Drosophila melanogaster: one gene and its partners. Changing the gene in region 3 together with the main gene of any one other region gives a genetic interaction. Each region holds a gene or a part of one and is shown on either strand. Other genes may lie near its edges.

What was found.
Region 1: of amos (region 3) and ro, changing one suppresses a phenotype caused by changing the other (phenotypic suppression), as found in Drosophila melanogaster (2 studies listed by BioGRID).
Region 2: of amos (region 3) and E(spl)m8-HLH, changing one suppresses a phenotype caused by changing the other (phenotypic suppression), as found in Drosophila melanogaster (one study listed by BioGRID).
Region 4: of amos (region 3) and hh, changing one suppresses a phenotype caused by changing the other (phenotypic suppression), as found in Drosophila melanogaster (2 studies listed by BioGRID).

The regions. Positions count from the first base shown.
Region 1 is NT_033777.3:26,876,207-26,883,322, reverse strand, and holds ro (rough), read left to right. Parts: upstream 1-2,151; 5' UTR 2,152-2,217; coding exon 2,218-2,758; intron 2,759-2,863; exon of another isoform or gene 2,864-2,977; coding exon of another isoform or gene 2,978-3,238; intron 3,239-3,486; coding exon of another isoform or gene 3,487-3,729; exon of another isoform or gene 3,730-3,844; intron 3,845-5,546; coding exon 5,547-5,781; intron 5,782-6,153; coding exon 6,154-6,430; 3' UTR 6,431-6,552; downstream 6,553-7,116. Other genes in the region: CG5500 (uncharacterized protein), read right to left, coding at 2,978-3,238, 3,487-3,729; ms(3)K81 (male sterile (3) K81), read right to left, coding at 6,813-7,116.
Region 2 is NT_033777.3:26,037,915-26,041,508, reverse strand, and holds E(spl)m8-HLH (enhancer of split m8, helix-loop-helix), read right to left. Parts: upstream 1,270-3,594; 5' UTR 1,186-1,269; coding exon 646-1,185; 3' UTR 501-645; downstream 1-500. UniProt on the Drosophila melanogaster protein: Participates in the control of cell fate choice by uncommitted neuroectodermal cells in the embryo. Transcriptional repressor. Binds DNA on N-box motifs: 5'-CACNAG-3'. Part of the Notch signaling pathway.
Region 3 is NT_033779.5:18,595,436-18,599,038, forward strand, and holds amos (absent MD neurons and olfactory sensilla), read right to left. Parts: upstream 1,487-3,603; 5' UTR 1,472-1,486; coding exon 875-1,471; 3' UTR 701-874; downstream 1-700. UniProt on the Drosophila melanogaster protein: Transcription factor involved in early neurogenesis; sensillum basiconica formation and maybe sensillum trichodea development. Promotes multiple dendritic (MD) neuron formation. Required for olfactory sensilla; regulated by lozenge (lz).
Region 4 is NT_033777.3:23,138,799-23,143,886, forward strand, and holds the start of hh (hedgehog), read right to left. Parts: upstream 3,109-5,088; 5' UTR 2,724-3,108; coding exon 2,244-2,723; intron 1-2,243.

The DNA of each region.
Region 1 (7,116 bases), on a different chromosome or scaffold from region 3:
AAATCGTAGAATGTTTCTAAACACATATAATATATCGATCTTAAACTATTTGGGTTCCAAACATTTCCTGTCTCAAAGCATTCTAATACCCATGTGCATTCGTCACTATTTTGTTTGCTACCACTTGCATTACTATTCTACACTCGAATTTCTAACGGTAACCGGACAACACACATTGCCAACAGCTGTTAGTCGTTGTTGTTGCGCTGTTAATTGGTAAGTACGCGACATTTCTATCAATCAAACATAAAAGTCCGCGTTCATTTCCATAACAATTTTCCCGTAATATGCTGCGCATGCGCAGGATAATGAAAACGAGCCCACGAGAAATCCCGCGGTGGGAATTAGGGAATCAAAAGAAATCCCACAATAAGCCCCTCGCGAATGCCTCCGCCCACGCCTCTGCATGTGCAAGCGGGATGGCCAGAGGCAGGAAGTTCTGCGTGCGAGCGAGAGGCAGCGTGCACCCTTAGCGCCGCTCATAAATGTCAATGGAAATGAAAAGGCTGATGTTATTGTTTTTTTTCGTTTGTTTTTGGATGGAAAACAGAATGAACAACATGTGGGTTTCGCTTTATTAAACATCGCCTGGAGGAGGAAATGCCGAAGAGGCTCTACACACGACAAAAAATATACAAACATTCTAAAGACTCAAAACACTATGCTTAAATATTTGCAAATTTATTTTAAGGTCTTTCAGCACAATGATGTGATGTATTGATGTATAAATTTAAGGTTACTGTTTGTAATTCATTAAATATGATTGTTTTGCAATTGATTCCAATCCAGTTTGATTACTTTTTAAGTCGAGGTTCATGTCTGAATTTCATTTTTCTGTGCAACCAGAAGGTATTTATAAATTGAGCTCAAAAAAATAAAACGCACGAAAAATGTTCAAAAAATTTGCATATGTCAGTGTAACAAAAAACCGAAATTGATGGATGGAAAAAAGTCGGCGACTGAAAAACACACACTCGCGGGCTTAAGCCAAATAAGCTCTAAACGAAACGAAACGAGTTTTAACAAAATATTTTTGCATTGCTCAAACGCAGCTCAGAGCCGTCAGAGAAACAAACACAAATGCACGCCGGGGCCAAATAAAAGCCATTCAATTAATATCCGGACAGAAAACAACAAACAAAAGTCGCTGCAATTTTTCTGGTTTTATTTGTTTTGCACTGCTCCCATTTTGTGGTGTTTGAGGGGATATGGGAATTCGATAAACAAAATCGAAATTGGCCAAAATCGAAGGGATGTACCTTTTTTTTTCTTATTTTCGTCACCACTTGTTGGTCTTTGTTTATTGTTATTATTCTTTATTGGCACTTTCGGTGGCTGCGACAGCTGCGCGAACTAACGGTACGTGCAAATCGGTTGCGCAGCGCAGACGGATTGGCAACATAACCGTAATCGTTTGTTTTTGTTTTCGTTCTTTCGATCACTATCACTTCATCGATACTTCTTTCCCAAAACAGCACACGTTTACGCACCGAAGTTTTGGGAACACATTATCCATGCTGATATAATCCACGAACTCGACTCGACTCGATTCGATTTGATTCGATCCCTCGCGCGCGCTATGTAAAATTACAGATAGTGGCGCGATTCGGTTGCTTATATAGACTTTTTGCCATTTAGACGGACCGTTTATGGTAGTTTGAAAAATGCATGAAATACATTGAAGAAGCAAATGCTGATTGCCCACCTCTAGGGATCTCGCTCTTAAGGTTGTTGTCCTCGCAAAGCACTGGCGAGGTAAGAAACTTGGCTAAACCAGGGACTGTACGCACACACTGCTTGTATGAAGACGTGAGTACTGCTTGCTTAAGAGTGGGCGGAGCTTATTTAGGCACACTGCTTGCCACCCTTAAGTGAAACTTTGGCCGGAAGTAAAATTAGGGGTTAATTGCACGGCACTTCAGCCAATCAAACCGGGTTTCAGGCCACACTTCAGGTGTTTAGTGGGAAGGGGGTCCTTTTTTTTTATTATTATTATTAGTAAGCAGCATTTTAGGCGCCCCCGCTGCTGCTGTTAATTTTCTGATGTGCCGCGTAATTTGCTTTGTTTTTTTTTTTCACCCAGTTCCTCTGCCGACGTCGACGTCAGGATAAGCGTCGCTTGACCAGCGGAAGTAGAATTATTTGTGGCACTTCAGTCGCTCGCCGATTACCCAAGTGATTAGTTTGGACAGCTAACGCGGCACATCCTCAAACGAAATGCAACGTCACAAAGTTGAGATTGGCTCACCCGACGGCTCGCCGGGCATCAAAAGGAGTGACAGCTTAGATCCCATAGCGAACACTACGATTCTATCCGTGCCGCAACGTCCCTCGTCGCCGCGACAGTTTTTCGAACGTCTGTACGGGCATTTGGAAACGCGCTCCTCGGAAAATGGGGAAATCGACGTCGGAACACACGCCCACAAGCCGCCGCCCTGTGACACGCCCTATCACAGCGATGGAGGAAGCGTCTCCTCGCCAGACATTTCCATCAGCGATGAACGCACCTCGCTAGCCGCATATCCCGCCTACGATTTCTATGGTCACGCCAAGGACTATCCGCAGCATCCTAGCCAGCAGCACCAGCAGCATCATCATCATCACCATCATCCGCCGCAGCTGGTGCACCAGAAACTCAGCTACGTGAGCCCGCCGCCAGCAATTGCCGCCGGTGGAGCTGCGAATCCTGTCCTGCCACACGCATTCCCAGCCGGCTTCCCAAGTGACCCGCACTTCAGCGCCGGCTTTTCCGCATTTCGTGAGTACTTACATTTAAAAAAGAATGGTTTCTAACAATGTGTAGAATATTTGCAAAGCTATGCAGAATCTTTAGAACTACGAAAATAACTTCTTCAGAACCTTAACTCTTACATGTTTATTTTGAGGTTTCTTAGTTCTTACACACTAAGTACAAGAGTAAATTTGAGCTACTACGAATTTGGTCCTAACTAGATATTTAGGTGAGCGGGGATTTGTACTACGGCGGGGGCGAGGATTTCTTTGGCTTTCCCTGCTTCGCTGCTTTCTCCGCCGCCGCCTTCTCCTCCCGCTGCTTAGCCATCTGGCGCAGCTCCAGGCTGAGGAACATCTTCAGGTTCGGGTCGGTGATCTTGCTCAGCACAATCTCTCGCGCCTCCTCATCGTTGTCGCCCAGCAGCTTGGCCAGCGTCTGTGCGTAGTCCAGCCAAACGCAGTTGGCGCAGCCCGACATGCAGCAGGTGGTGGGCTCGGGAGGTATCTGCAAACGATTATATAATATGCAATCTCTTGAGCCACTTTCCTCTTAGGATAGAAAGTTATTTCAGTATTGTGATAACAATTGGATCCTTCGATAATACTGCTCAATAGTTTTAGAAGTTCATAGAACTACACTAAGTTTTGTGTTACAATACTAGATCGATGATCCTTTCTTTCTAATGAACTACAATCTTACCAACTGATATTTAACCTATAATAGCAATGATAACAACTAGCTTACAACATTACCTCTATGTTTCTGAGCCGCTTCCTTCCCTTGGTGGTTTTATCTTTGGCTTTGGGAGTGTCAGTGCCCGTCGTTGTGCTATTGGGCGGACAGCCACTTGCTGCCTCCTGGGCGGCCGCATCCTTGCTGCTGGCATCATCCTGGGAGCTGCTGCCCGACAATTGGCGGGCCAGTGAGGCCCAACGCTCGGCGCCACGTCGCAGGAGCAAGCATCGCGGACAGCTGAAGCCCAGGGGAGCCAACATTTCCGCCCGATCCCCGAAAGAGTTCGAAAGTTACGATTGAAAAGGCCCAGAGGAAGTGATGAGCATTTCACACGCCTGCGCAGGTGCAGCCCAGATGAACTTGGTTCCGCAGGAACTGCAAAAAAAAAAAGTCGGATACGCAAAAAAAAACTGATTAATCGTCAGTGCTGCAATATTGAATATCCCCCACATCTTCGCACCGAGTGCGCTGGCCAGGATTATGTAAAATCAGTTGGAAAAAAATAAACGAAACTAAGGTGGGGCAACCAAGCAATGCCACACAATGAGCTGCTGCTGCTGCTGCTGCTGCTGACCCCCAAATGCAAAGAAATTAGCCAAGGAAAAAAAATAACCGAATGCCAAGAAAAAATTAAAACGCATTGAGCCGTGAAAGTTTTCGTTTACTTGCGGCTTTTTCGTTTGCTCCTGATGAGGTGGCCAAGGTGGCCAGGTGCGGAGATGAGGTTGAGGGGATATTGAAACATGGAAATGCGTCGGCTAATGAAAATGATCGCAGGTTAAGGGTGAATGGGTTAGCCATTCGTAAGCAAGAAATCAAAGTTAAAGACACTTTGAAACCTTTTCTACGAGCAGAAACGTATTCTACATATGCAAGCATTTTTTAGATTCAGAACAGTTGATATATTTAATGCTAAACCAGCTTGGTAGTTACTATAAGTACTTGATCTTTAAATTAACTAACTTACAAGCCAAACTTTTGGTCAATCTCAAAAAAATAACAAGTGTCTGAAAAAATTAGCATTGTAATTGAGCTCGGCAGGAAACCTAAAAAAGCAAACACAAACAGCAAGCGAGGAGGGTTAAGCGAGGAAGACTCATTTTTAGCCACAACAAACCGTCCGAAAGGACACTTGGCTATCGAATTACACACGTGATTTAAAAAAAAAAAAAAACCTTCGGCAAGGATCAGGGAAGAGCTTAAGCCCCTCCAGAGCCATCCGGACTAGGGGTAATCAAGCAAAAGCTAGAGATTACAACGCCCACAAAGCAACCCCTTCCCGGGGAAACCCCCCCTCCCCCCCCCCCACCATCCTAACACCACCGAGCAACTTGTCAGCTTCGCCTTGTTACATCAATTAGACTCTAAACCGCAACATTCACCATGGTGTGGGTGTTTGTGGTGGGTGTTCCTGGGTGGCAGGTGCTCGTTGTTGCAGGATGAAGTGGGGCATAATGTGCGCTTGGTTGAGCTTCATCGTCGGCGACACTGCGAATGCAAACAATCAAACGACAGAATGGAAAACTCGAAAGAGCGGATGATGCCGAGAATTTCGACGAGGATGATGATGATGATGATGGCCAGCCAGCTGTTGGCATTGTTATAACTTTCCCGGATCAGCATAGATTGCCGAAATGAAAAGCGTGGTAAAAAAAAAAACATAGAGAACAGAAACTACGTGGTAAATGCACTTTTAATGTGCACCACAAACGCGACCGACGACGAATTCTGGCAGGTGGGCGGGCGGAGAGAGCAAGAGAGGGAGGACGACGGATGGACCACGGATCGGAGTGGTTAATTATTTGTTTAACTGACGCAGCGACACGCAACCACATTCGAAAACGTTTAGTCCCGCTCATAACTTGATGGTTTGTTAATGTAAGATTAATTTCGCTCTAACATCTCCATTGTGTTGGACATAAACGAAAGTGGGTGGGCTGTGAAAAAATGATGCTATCCGACGGATGTCGTTATTGTACACACTGAATGGTGCGGGGTTTACATAACTAATAAGCTGATTCCAACTAGATATTATACACGTATTAATTGTAAGGATATCAATGTATTTGACTTTCAGTGGCTCGCAGGCGACGCAAGGAGGGAAGACAACGCCGCCAGAGGACCACTTTCAGCACAGAGCAGACGCTTCGCCTGGAGGTGGAGTTCCATCGGAACGAGTACATCTCCAGGAGTCGTCGCTTCGAGCTGGCCGAAACGCTGCGCCTGACCGAAACGCAAATCAAGATCTGGTTCCAGAATCGCAGGGCCAAGGACAAACGCATTGAAAAGGCTCAGATCGATCAGCACTACAGGTGGGTTTCCCCTTTAGCTAATTTGAATCGTTTTTTCTGTTTCATATGTACAAAGATATCATCGATTTTGATTGAGTTAAATAATATTAAATGAACATAAATTAATGGTTGATGAATAGCTCGTGAAGAGGATTTTAACTGGGTATTTATACCTGCATTTTCGAAACGGAAGTAATTTAGTGAAATGTCACTAGTTTAATTGATGGCCAACATGAAATTAACACGAAATTAATTTTACGACATTTATGCGCACACAGACCCAATTAGACGATATCATTTTTTTCCATATTTTTTTTTTTTTTTTTTTTTTTTTTTTGTGCCGGAGGGGGTTGCTCGAAATTATTTTGTACATTGATGTAATCAATTTTTCAGAAACTTTGTCGTGGCCAATGGTTTTATGAGCTCTATAATGGGTCAGGCTGCCACGACCATGCCCCCCGGAGGCGTCACTGGGGGCGTGGCGGTGGGCGTGGGCCTAAACTACTATGCCGCGGCAGCGACGCCGGCAGCGCTGCCCAAGGATAACACGCAGGATGCCAATTTCATCGACATCGATGACCAGTTCCAGCGCCAGCAACAACAAAAACAACAACAACAGCAGCAGCAGCAGCGACGTCGAGAAACAACAACGCCTATTAACATTTGCTAATACTTGCTAATTGATTACATTTATTTGAGCTTTAAACTGTTTAGATTAAGATCGAATAAAAGTCATTGTGAAAACATAACAGATTGCAGGAATTGCACTTTTCGAAGAAATCACTCACTGCTTGCCAACAAACTTACGTGTGTTGTTATGGACTCAGCATTTTGCACTTGATTTATTTATATAAGAGAGGGTTTTTGAGGGAAAACCAGGAAATTTGTTAAAAACCAAACAGCAAAACTAACAAACAATAATGCAGCCCTGGTGCTCAGCCAGCTGTTTCTGCTGCTAATAACATGGCGGAAACTATCGATAGATGGTTACATAGATGGTAACAGTGTTATTTCAAATTTAATTTATGAAAATATCCTAAATGAAACAAACATTATCCCCCAGTAGTTCCCGCCAGATAAATGGCCATAGCTTCACGATTTAGATGCACAAACTGGCGCCTTTTCGGAATTGGTTGGACATTCGGTAGCCGCGTTCCATTCACGGCATTCAAACTCAGATTCGAGCTGGGATCGTAGTCATCGGAGAAAAGTGTATCGTCGGAAGAATTGGACTCAACCAACTGGCTTCCTGCTCTTTGAGCCGCCGCCGCCGGCGCTGCGCTAGTGGTTGATTCTTGCTCCTCCGAGGATTGTGTTGTGGACACACTAGCCGCGGACTCATGAGATTTCTCACTA
Region 2 (3,594 bases), on a different chromosome or scaffold from region 3:
AAAAAGTGAAAAAAGTTCCGCAATAAATACGTAACTTAGATCTGTACATGTTCTTCAGGTGCAGTTGGCGCGCTTTTTAAAAATGAATAAATAATTATTCAGTTTATTATTATTCAGTCTGATTTGCTATTTTCAATCTTGTGAACCGTTAAGGACATTACCGATTCAAAAAACTTAAAATTATCAGTGCTAGTTTTCTAAAACACTTTTATTTTAATTAAGTGAAATATATTTAATTTATTATTAAATAGATATAAATAAATAAATATAATTTATTTATATTTATAAATAAATATTTATTATTATAAAATAGATTTCACTTCGGTCATTGCCAAAATAGATTTCCATTGTCAGAGCAGAGATATATTATTTGATATTTCCTAATTGGTAATAATTTAATTACCAATAAGGATTCCAATTGCCACCAACTAAGGGATTGGTCCCTTAGATCCCCTCCCAACATCCCAATAAAGTAAATTGTTTTGATATTTGTTTAAATTGGTTTATATTTGTTTTGCTAATTGCTTTTTTAATTTTGCTATTTTGTTGCCATCACAGTTGGGCTATCACAGATGCGTTGTTGGTTGGTTCTTCCATTCCCATTGCCACTCCACCCTTACCTTCCTGCCACTTAACCCCTTGTTTTTACCAGGGGCGCCACAAGGGCTGCTGCATGGGCTGTGGCGAGGGGGCGGGGCTGTCGCAGTCGCTGTGATATCCGGAGGAGGCGGGGCTGAGCGGAGCCTTGTCCATTGAGGAGCAGTCCATCGAGTTCTGGATGAAGTCGGCGGCGGACTGTGCTTCGTGGAATTGCTGCAAGTTCTTGTAGACGCGTCCCAGGTGAGTCATCACCGATTTGCCCAGGTCGACGCTCATGCCAGGTGTGGAGGCCATGACACGTGACACCTCGTTGACGGCATTCATGTAGCCATTCTTAAAGCTGTCCAGGGGGAGGGATTGTTCTTCCTGAGCCACCTTCTTTGGTGTCTTTTGCTGGCGCATGAAGATCACCGCTGACTCGAGCATCTCGGCCTTGTCCATGCGCAGGATGCCATCATCACCTCGTAGCTCGGCGACAAGTGTTTTCAGGTTGTCCAGGCACTTGTTCATGCGGGCACGTCGCTGGCGCTCCAGCATTGGCTTCTTCACCTTCTGGTAGATCTGGGTCTTGGTGGTGTATTCCATTTTTGTTTTGGTAGTAGGTTACGTAGTTTTAAAAATTTTTGAAAAATTTTGTATTCGGCTTGTTGCTGCCTGCTCGACGGCGTAATCGTGAGTGATATTCTGCTCTGCGAGGTCCCGTCCTTTTATACCGCTCCCTGGTCCCTGAAATCCACCCTCTGATACGCACCTTTCCTGCCCTCTCTTTCGCTCGCACGGCTAAACGCCGGTGTTGTTGTCTTTTTCACAAGGAACAGCTGCAACTTCGTAGGACGGAGGACAATCCTTGTGGCTCGTGGCGTGGGAACCGAGCTGAAAGTAAGTTTCTCACACAATTTTTTCTCGTTTGTTTTCCCTTTTGGCCACATGCTTCGCTCCGCTCCGCTTCTCATTTTTTTTCGAGTATAAGGATCAGGGCACATTTTTGCAGCTGTCGCTGTTTTTGGCTGCTCGCATTGCTTTCTGGGCCGGTGTTATTATCCTTAATGCATACTTCACTGCCTCATCCTGTCGTGTTTGGAATGGGAACGTTCATATATGGGTACATGGGATCGAAGCATGATGAGCAGGGGCAGGGGATCCGAACTGCTTGTGCGTGGGCCGCTCTGGCATTGTTATCCTGCCGTGCCATCTACTCGCTTATTGTTTCATCAATGCCAGCAGACGATGATTGTATAAGCCCCTACTCCTGCTCCGACCTCCGAACTGCGAACTCTGAGATCTCCTCTTTCCGTTCCCACAGTGCCCCGTCGACGAGTGTTTATTGGACACAATTAGTGGATGTGGCATATTGGCTTCGTGCCGGGTCGCCTTGGTTGTTCGATCGTTCCATCGTTTGGGCTGTCTGATCTCGGGTTTTTGGGTGGTTGGCAGGGGGACGTGGGTCAAACGGGCGCAGAAAGTGTGCCCCGCGTGCCACACTCGTGGCCGAGGTTGAGTACTCAATGCCCAGGCTGAGGTGAGGTGGGCCTTGTGCCGGAATGTCTACCTATGGGATGCACATAGTTAACTTCCTGCAACCCCCTAATTGGTAATTAGTAATTTTTCACCGGTTAATTGATGTGCACTTTTCAAATATCTTGTCTTATGGTAAATGTGGTTTGTTCAATGTGTGGCTCATCCTAATAAGATTGTTAAAGTAATCATAGGATACAAAAGTTTTCTTTGAATTTAGTTAATAGGAACTTATAATGTCTGGCGTATCTTTCTAAACCCATTTTTAATTAGCTAATATTAAGTGCTTTTGGTTTCGGAATCTTGGGTTTCGCATGCAAGTATGGTGTATTAGAATTCCATTGAGTAAATTTCACTTTCGAGTTAACTTTTATAAACTCTGTTTCTATTAGGAAACTAATCGACCTCTGACATCGATGCCTACCTATGGGATTTGTGTCCCTCCCTTGCAACCGCCTAGGGTATGCTACTTCCTCACTTAATAATTGAGATGGATTTGTATATCTCCCTTACAAATCTTGAGGGTTCTTAATATTGACATTTTATGGGTGGAAAACAACGTCATTGATTATTGTAATGGGGAGGGATACTCTCACTTCTTATAGTATTTTGGGTGTCAGAGGTTAATAATGTGGTATGAATTTGGAATTGAATACACTTACCTATGATTTTACGTAATGCTATTGCAACCCTCAATATGTGATGTAATTTAATTGATTAATTGTAAAAGAATAAATTTTAAGGGATTAAATATAATAGGGTATAATGTGTGATAAGTAATCGAGACGCGTGCTGAAACTCATTTGTATGTTTCTTGACCATTCTTATTGACCTTTTATTGGTGGAAAAATTATAATGCCGCATTTAAGGTTTATAACAATGTATTGTATTGTGCTAAAGGATGTCAAATACTTTCATTTCATAGTCTGTTGACAAAATAGTTACTGAAATAGAATATAAGTAAACACATCGTGCAAATGAAAAATAACGACCATTAAAAATATGAAATTAAATTCCTTTTTATTATTAAATGCATGCTTGACAACTAAGTGCACATTAGTGGAGCATGTTTTGCTATTATGTTTAACTGTTATTGAAACTTGTTATTAATATAGCTCGTTTAGGATAATGATGGGCTTTAAGATAATGAACATAATTTATGGGAAGTCCATTTTTTTACACGTGTCCTAAATAAGCTAGTGCACACGATCGTTTTATTATATTGGACCTTAAAGTTCGCGCATACCAACATTAAATATTTTCAATGGAATCTTCTTCCTATTGGAATTTAAAGACAAATACTGAAGTTCAATATCCCCTATTGGATTGTGCTGTAAAATAGATTCCCCAAATAATAAGATTCTTGTATAATTTCATTTCATATTTTGATTTGTATTTAAGTTTTTCATTTTGTATCTTTTCATATTGTGTTCTTGAGATCTCTTAGCTGGTAAACATTTGTATATATGTAGAGTAAAA
Region 3 (3,603 bases):
CTGTTGTGTACGATACGTCTTTTGTCTTTCTGGATCCTCGACTTCATCCGTTTCAGATAGATACTCGCTCGGTCCACCCACAGTTCCCATAGCACTTACAAATGACTATGTTTAAATCAATTTTCGTCTAATCTTCGAAGGATCTAAGGTAGCGACTGTGTTTATCCTCAGTGTGTTTACCTGTTGACGTTTGCGGCATTTAATCACTTCTGTTTTGGAGTTCCATCACTTTGAGTCGGAAGCGGAACTCATTAATTCTCGGTTTGTTACTGATGTTATGACCTTTCGTTTTGGTTCGTGGGCGTGGCGCACTGCCTAGCTTGCCATGCCGCTCTCATCTTTCAAGGATAACAAGGATACCCTTTTTCGGGCTGAGATGAAAGCGTGGCGAATAAAAACAAATGTGGAGGCATCAGTTGGATTGATAAATGGAGTTTTTACATATATTTATGTAAATTAATAAGTCTGATAAGTTATTTACATTTCAGTACCTATAAACTTCCTATCTTTTTTTTAAATATTTATTGGATTTTTCCCTTTTTCTCTCTAAAAATATCTGCTCTAAATTCTGTATATGTACCAGCAAAAAATGCAAAGATACAATTCAAACAAAATATAAATTTCCAAGTTCGCACAACATTATTTTCATTCCAACTCCACCATTTCATACGATATGAATTTAAAACAATATAATTGATTTGTATTTTCATTTTTATTATAAAACTATTGCTTGAATTGTGTACAACTATGATAATAAACGTAAAACTAACAGCCTTTATAAGATTTCCACTAGGATATGAAGGTGTTGCTGCAACACAGCCCGCAAAAGGAACTTCCATTTGAGGAAGAAAGGATAAAGGATCGCCCACACTGGCTAGTAGTCTCTGGACAGCAACGTGACCAGATCCCCGATGTATGCTTGCGCCATTTGCAGAGTTTCGTATTTGGAGAGTCGCCGATCGTGGCCGAGTGATGGAACCACATCTCTCAACTTGTCGAAGGCATCGTTCAGGCTGTTCATCCGCCTCCGTTCCCGAGCATTGGCGGCCAGTCGCCGTTTTTTGAGGACTTCGCCACCGAATCCCGCGGACGATGAACTGCTCGAAGAGGCGGAGGATGTAGATGATGACATGGAAGTGGACAGCTTGTCGTATGGCTTGCTCCTCTGCTGCTTGTTCCAGTACCTTGGACTTCTGCCCTGATTCTTGCCCAAGGGATTCGCTTGAAGGTGGTGCTGCTGCTGCTCCTGGGCATTCAGCATGTGCTCCAATTCCAGGACAGACGGCGTATCGTAATACATCTCCAAGGAGCAACTGTTGGCGCCATCCGACTGGCTGTCGCTGGTGCTGAACTCCTGCTGGTACATGAGCTGCTCCAACTGCTGGAAGGTGTCGTTGCTCAGGAACTCGGGAATCGCTGGGGCTTCGTCGGGGAAGTAGAACTGCTCCATTAGCTCGTTGTTGGTCAACATGTTTACGTTTGCAGGCTCAAGGGACAACTGAAGTGGCTGCTTGAGGATGGGTCTTTATATAGCTGCCTGCCGAGGATTCAGCTCTCACGTGATTGGTTCACTACATATGTCCTGTTACCTGATTCGCTGCCTCAAGCTGATCCGATCCGCTCAGGTACCCGATTGCCAACCTCTTGAGGATCAGCAGCACAGCCCGTGCCCTAAATTGGCTTGCGGTCAAGACGTTTAATTGTCTCTGGCTGCAACTCTCTCCCTCTTTCTCCCAGGTATTTACTGTATCAGCTACAGGTCGACTCCTTTTGTTTGACCTGTCATTTGGCTACCGTCTGTAATCATACCTCTTTTGTTACTTGCCCTGGAATTGACTTTTTATATTCAAACAAAATTTAGCCAAGGTCAAAATGCGAACGCACAAAAGACTCTTGTCATATGGGAATATTTTCCACAATGTGTGCCTCCATCGAAGATCGCCATGGATCATCTTGGTTGCATGTCTGTGGTCTAGTGAGTGGAGTGCTCGACTGGTTGGATGCAAACCCCATTTTTCGGACAGAACAAAGAGCAACAATTGTGCTTGTGCGGTTTGTGACTTTCGATTTTAGGCGGTTGTACTTACTTTATTGGGTCAAATTTAAGTGGGTGTATTAATAGTGGCTTTCTCCTGCTTTCAATGGCCAAATTACAGGACGTCGAGAAGTTCGAAATTCAAAAAAGCATGAAGAAATCAAAGCAAGTATCACATTATTATTATTTATTATTATTTTCATATTAAGGGATTTGAAATGTGCTATATTAACGCCTTTACTGAAGAGTTACTTTTCCGATAATAAAACTACACTACTTTAACATGCTGAAACCATTCGATGGGTCCTTCGAAACTCTGGTGCAATATGTTGCACCCTCACATTATATACTTTCATTCGTATGCTCTGGTTTCCACAGTCATCTTGGGATCAAGCCCACTTTCAAGTGACCGCATCGAAAGGCTAATTAACTCCACAGACTCGCAGCATTAGAGGGAAAATCAATTCGAGGAGTTCGCTGAATTTCTAAGGAAACTGGGCAAAACAATTGGAAAACACTGGCCGAGAAGCGCCGAGCATGGCTAAAGAGTACAAATGATGCCACTGCAAGATGGCCCAGTTACTTCGCCCAAATTGTCAAGGAACAAAGTCCCGAGCCGACAAAGGATCCTGACGTTTGATCTTGACGATGATGATGATAGCTGATGGATCGATCGATCGCTCGATCGGTTCACTTTGTTAAGAGTGCCACGCGACCGCAGCTTAGTCGAAATCCTGGCCCAGATTAGGCATTATGCTGCAATATTTTCGGGAGAAAGGTTCGCGGATAACCTAAAGATCTGCAACGCCTTCGAAAAGAGGTTCTGGAATTTCCAATTAGCATTTTTCTGCGCTACCTGGGACCTCGATCCTGTCAAAATAGCAACAATAGGTAGTCGGTTGGTGGGCGGTTCTGGTTGAAAGTGGGAACCTCTCTCCGCACTCCATCCATATCCATGCCCGTTTGTTTCTTTTCTTCTGACCAACAATAGGTCACCTGATGATAATCTCGGATACGTCTGGCAGTTGCGTGTTTTTGGGTTTTCCCTGCCAGATTAATCGTTTTCGCTTTGCGGATTAGTTGTTGGCGCTAAATTGCGAAAATGAGATTAGAAGTCAGAGTCCCGGAGTCACCAGGAATTCCATGGGAATCTCTTCTCGCCCGACACTTGTTGATTCCACTCTTTGTATTGCAATGCCTGACAATGGATCTTTGTTTTTTGGTCCCATTGTTGGTCTGAAATGGATCAGACCTAACTTCATTGTCCTGAGCATAATTACCATGTAATAATCTGGAATTATGAATTATTATATACAAAGATTTGTTTGTTTCCAAGTAAATTCGTTGTGGTCACAGATGTGCAAAAATATCCAGACAGTATGTCTAGCAAGAACTTGAAATGGATGTTCCTAGCGAAAGCGGAGAATTGGAATATAATTTATAATTGCATACTTTAAATGTTTTTGCTGATCATTATTTTATTTAAATGTACGCCCTTTTATTTTTTTCCAGGTCAAAGAATAATTTCCTTCTCTTTAAAGAGTGGTTACAAAAGTAAAGTTATAAAT
Region 4 (5,088 bases), on a different chromosome or scaffold from region 3:
AACATCTGAAATGGCTGCAACCATTTAGAATCCCCCGATGGGCGCGTGGCAGTTGCCAAATGCAATTTGGAATTGGTTTTCAAGTGAAACTCTAGCAGGCGAACAACTGGTTCGATAATACGATTTAACTTTACAGTACAGTAAAATCTGATTTTTAAAGATCTAAGTCGTTTTTGCGAAACACTAACCACTGACTAATAAATCAACAAATCGAAAGTCATTGTAACACTTGTGTGGGCGATACTAAACCCTTTAAATCAACTATATTAGTCGGTTGGCAGGCGTAATCTGTCTTCCCACAATTCTGATTATTAGTTTGTTGTTCAATAGCACCAAATCGTCCAAGGAAACTGGAAGTCCGCCATAAAAGCCCAATAGCTCGTTTATGGCGCTAATCAATAACAAGGCTATTTTTACACATCGACACTTAAAATTTCATTAAAGTAACACGAAGATAAGCTGGTGGGAAGCGTGCCGATTATATATATCAGCAACTTCAATGTCGGCCCTCTTAGGGGGTCTTGACTGTGCTAAGCCGACTTCTGGCCGCAACGCAACCACCCCACTAACTGCTGGCTAATTGGAAATGTTGTCGCATGGTGCTTGAATTGAACACTTGTTTTAGCTGTTTCGCACTTTGAAACTCAACCACCGCTCCCCCACCAACTGGGTGGTCATCCCACCGCCACCCACTCCACTTTCACTACCCCCGCCCCTTTTTTTTTATGGCGATAAGATACTGCTGTTCTTCGCCTTAGCTGGTATCTTAGCACACATTTTGTTCTGGCACCGATATAGCGCAACTAGCAACGTATAACGTATAACGTATAACTTGCACCTAAACTAATTTTCACATTTTATTTCACACATAAAAACCATCATATACCTCTTTTAGCATAAACCATAAAGTGGCAAGCATATAGTATTATGCCAAGCGAACCCAATTTCTTTCAGTGCCAGCATGTAGCTACACATGTTGGCAAATATAGGGTGACTATCTGGGGGGATAGTAACCGTGTATTGGCAAACGAACTACTTGGCTGCAGTCCGCTTATCAGACAATCGCCGGTGATAAGCGGCAAATGCTCGCGTGCCTCCACTTTTGGGGCGCGGACAGGGTGGGCGGTGGGCGGTGGGCGGTGGTTTTGGCTGAGTAAAACCTGATAAATACCGGGACTTGTAATCTCCCGCATTCGATACCCTGTTTGTTGTTCAGCGCGAAATCGAAAACGCATTTGCGAAGCGTACACACAATGTTGAGTAAACTATGTATTTGCAATGATGACCCGGGGATCGATTGGGCTCGAGGTTGTTGAACGCGTTCGCTCGGTTTGTTTGGATTTCGGGACGCTTTGCAGCTTTATGGCTTAGTTCGATGGAATTCAGGCGCTATCTACCGTTCAGCCGTCGAGTATCGGGCTTCCTGTTTTTTTGCACTTGCGAAACAAGTGCAGTGCGGCGATAAGATGCATAATTAATCATATAAATGGCCAATGCTCAAAACTAATACTATATTTCAGCCCAGTTTTATGGCAGCCATCGCCACCATAAAGTTGGTGAAATAGCCAATGCTCGATCAATGATTGGGCACTTTTCCGCCACGTAGCGTTTATCAATGGGAACCGAGTGGCACAATCTCGTGCCATCGGGCGATCGCTAGATACGGGCTATAAAACAGCGCGAGCGATAAGCGATCGCTAATTTGACAATTGAATTTACGGACCACGACGGGTGGCAAAATGTGAGTGCAGTGCGCAATAAGCACGGAATTAGCCTAGCCGCAAATCGGAACCCAGCTGTCTGATATAGAAGACGAATTCGGAACAATATCAGCAATAAAATCTCATCTAAATGGTGTGTTTGACCTCCATACCTCAGATTTAACAGGCATTTCATTGTGTTCCTATATCAAAGTAGGCTTACTTTTATCACAAAATAATACCTAGACCAAATATTAAGTGTACTATTAAAGCATTACAAGTTCCGTTTGGTAGAGTTATCTCACATTTTTTCCTAGAATTAGTCATTTATTTGGCGTAAGACTGGGTTTTCACTTCATTTGTGTTGCTAACAATACTAAATGTTAAGTAATTTCTGATTAATCGTGATTAATAAGTCAATATTTCGGTTTTTACAAATAATTTTTAAGTCACTTTGTCACAATGATTCCGATAAGCGAAACTTTCCCAATGATGTATTACAAATTTTGTTACTAGCTTACGGTGTTTGAGGGTTTTCCTTACCTTGCTCATCAAGCGATCCGCTCCGGTGCCTTCCTCGTCGCGGAAAAGGATGTCCCTGTTGTAGTTGGGCACGAGGTCCTTGAATTTGGGCGAGTCCCGACGGATCACACCCTCCAGAGGTCCGGAGGCGCTGTTCGTGTACTCGGATAGATTGGGAATTGTCTGCTTGAGGACCAGCGGATACAGGTTGCGCGCCCTATGACGACCCAATCCTCGGCCAGGACCGCAGCTGTGAGCCGGGCTAAAGACCATCGGCAAGACGATCAGCAGCAGGGCCACCAGAGAGGTCAGCCTGCTGAGGCAACGCTGCGTATGCGCAATGTGGCGCATCGTTTGCGTTTCTTCTTGCGGGATTGCGGAGATGGAGCTCGCTGCGGATTTGGAGCTGGAACTGGAACTGGAACTGTGGCATTTGGCATCCAGGGAGAGACAGGTGACACTGGCGGCACTGGCCCAAGGCACTGAGCTGTGGTTATCCATGATTTATCTAAGACTCGTTGTTTGCTGTTTCTCTTGATTGGATTTTGTATCTCCTTTAATTTTTTTTATTTATTTTTTTGGTTATTTAGCACTTCACTTTTGGCACACAGACACGCTTATTTGGCGACACGTTTGTTATTCAGATTTATGGTATTATTTGGATTTAAACTGGCTAAATCGAAATACTTGAGTCGGCGAAATCGCAGGTCCTAACTGACTTAACTACGGTCTTAACTGTTCTCCGCTGAACTGGCAGTTAGCTCTCGGTTCGGACAACCGTTGCGCTCGCACTGTGATTGACAAATGACATTTCCGAGCGGAGTATCGTGCGCGCAGAGTGTTCGAGTGCGAGTACGAGTACGGCAGCGAATACGAATGCGAGTATAAGTACGAGTACGACGAGGGTGCTTTCAAGAACCCTAGGCCTTTTAGCTCACACAAACACACACGCACACACACACTATCGCCTCGAGTTCATTCCGCGTTGTGATTGTATGCGTATGCCACTCGACGTTCGATCGGCTGTGGTGTTCATTTTTATGCTGCCTTATGCGCAAGGGAAGTGGAAGCGGGACAACCAGATGATGCAGCATACTCACAAGACTGGTTTGCATGTGTTAGTGCCTGAGTCTTCGGCTCTTATGTACAAGCAATGTTGGCAACAGATGTTGGATGGCATTGGCATAGTGTGCTGCGGTCCATTATGGCCATGGATGAAAGTGTGTGCCTGTTGCCAATTGGATGTGTGATAGTGTGCGTTGCTGGCGCAGAAGAGCTGCAGCATCCTCGACTGCAACTGCAATTTCTCTTAACACTTGCACTACTCGGACTCGACTCGACTCGAGTCTTGTGGCTTGTTAGCCGCTTCTGGCCCTGCAACTCCTCCATCGCAGGCCATTGTTCACTTTTTTCCGTTGCCTTTCTTCGTTTTGTTGTTCGTTTCGCTTTATTGCTTGTAAATTAATAATGTTCCGGTTTTTTGTGTATTGTGTGACTCCTGGGCAGCCTTATATATATACATACATATATATGTATATTGTATATGGTATGATATGTGGAGTACATATGGGTTCAATGCTGCTTCCGTTTGCCAGTCTTCAAGGAACGGAAAAAGTGCTTAAAACTAAAGTACTTTATGATCATCGAAGGCTCCGAGCTTATGTCACCCAGTGAGTCATTCATATGCCCCTCAGGTAGTGGTCATGTTCCGATTAGATATCGCCTTAGGACCTACAAATTACTGGTCAATTTAACAATTTCCTTCTCCGCCAGAGGTTCCGTTCAACGCCATGTCAATAATCGCAAATATGTCTATATATATTGCAAAAACCGATAACGATTTTGGCAAATACAATTTGCAATTAGGTACCTTATATTTATGCACAGCAAATAACTAAGTTGCGGATTGATGCCGCACTCTGGAAATCAATAAATTTCCAGTTTTATCTCTGTTGACTTTGGCTAATATAAAATTCCCCACAACTGGGAAATCTCCAATTTAACTTTTTAGCTTTTTCGCACTTTCAGAACTTGGATCTGTGGCAAGCGCTAATCTTTTGTTTTGGCTCTTTTTCCAGACCTTATTTATTTTTTTGCGGTTGCACCAGGTCTATTTGCACTGTCACTTGGCAAGCGCGAATTGTGGAATACGCCCGTCAATGTGTGCCCAAGAAATTGTCACTTTCCAACGGGGTAGAACCAAGGGCCAAGGTGCACCTGCTCATGTAACGGATTCCATGGGGGGGCATAGCATTTTTTTTTTTTTTGGTAACGCTCTGGAATGCAAGGCATAGCATAATAATTTCGACAAAAAACGAAATGAATCGAAGAAAAAAAATAAAACGAATCGAAAGAGGAGAAATACAATAGCTGGTCGTGGCGGCAAAAGATATAAGAGAAGGCAAAACGCCATCAACAAGATACACGGAACCAAATTAAAGATGAAGAAGCTGAAATGGAAGGGGGTATGGAATATACGAGTCTTGGATGCTGGGCCATCGGGCATTCGAGTGTGTGTGCGAGAGTCTATGTGGCTGCCACATAAATTTCTGCCTTCTTTGTGTGCGCACCGAACTCATTACGTTCGTCGCTGTGTGTATCTGTGTGAGTTTCGAATGTGTCTTTGGGCCTCCGCATCTGTATCTGTATCTGTATCTGTGGGGCGGAGCTGCTTAAGGCGCTCATTTGTGAATGAACACACAACACACCGTGAACAAGCCAGATACAGATGCGAAGACCATCCCGGGCCCATGGGCAAACAACAATCGCTCCAGCACTTAATGAGCATGAATAAATGGCATCGCAGACCGTGGAGCAAGCGAGACGGCCAGCGGTCCTCATAATCACGATCATATAGATCGCGCTC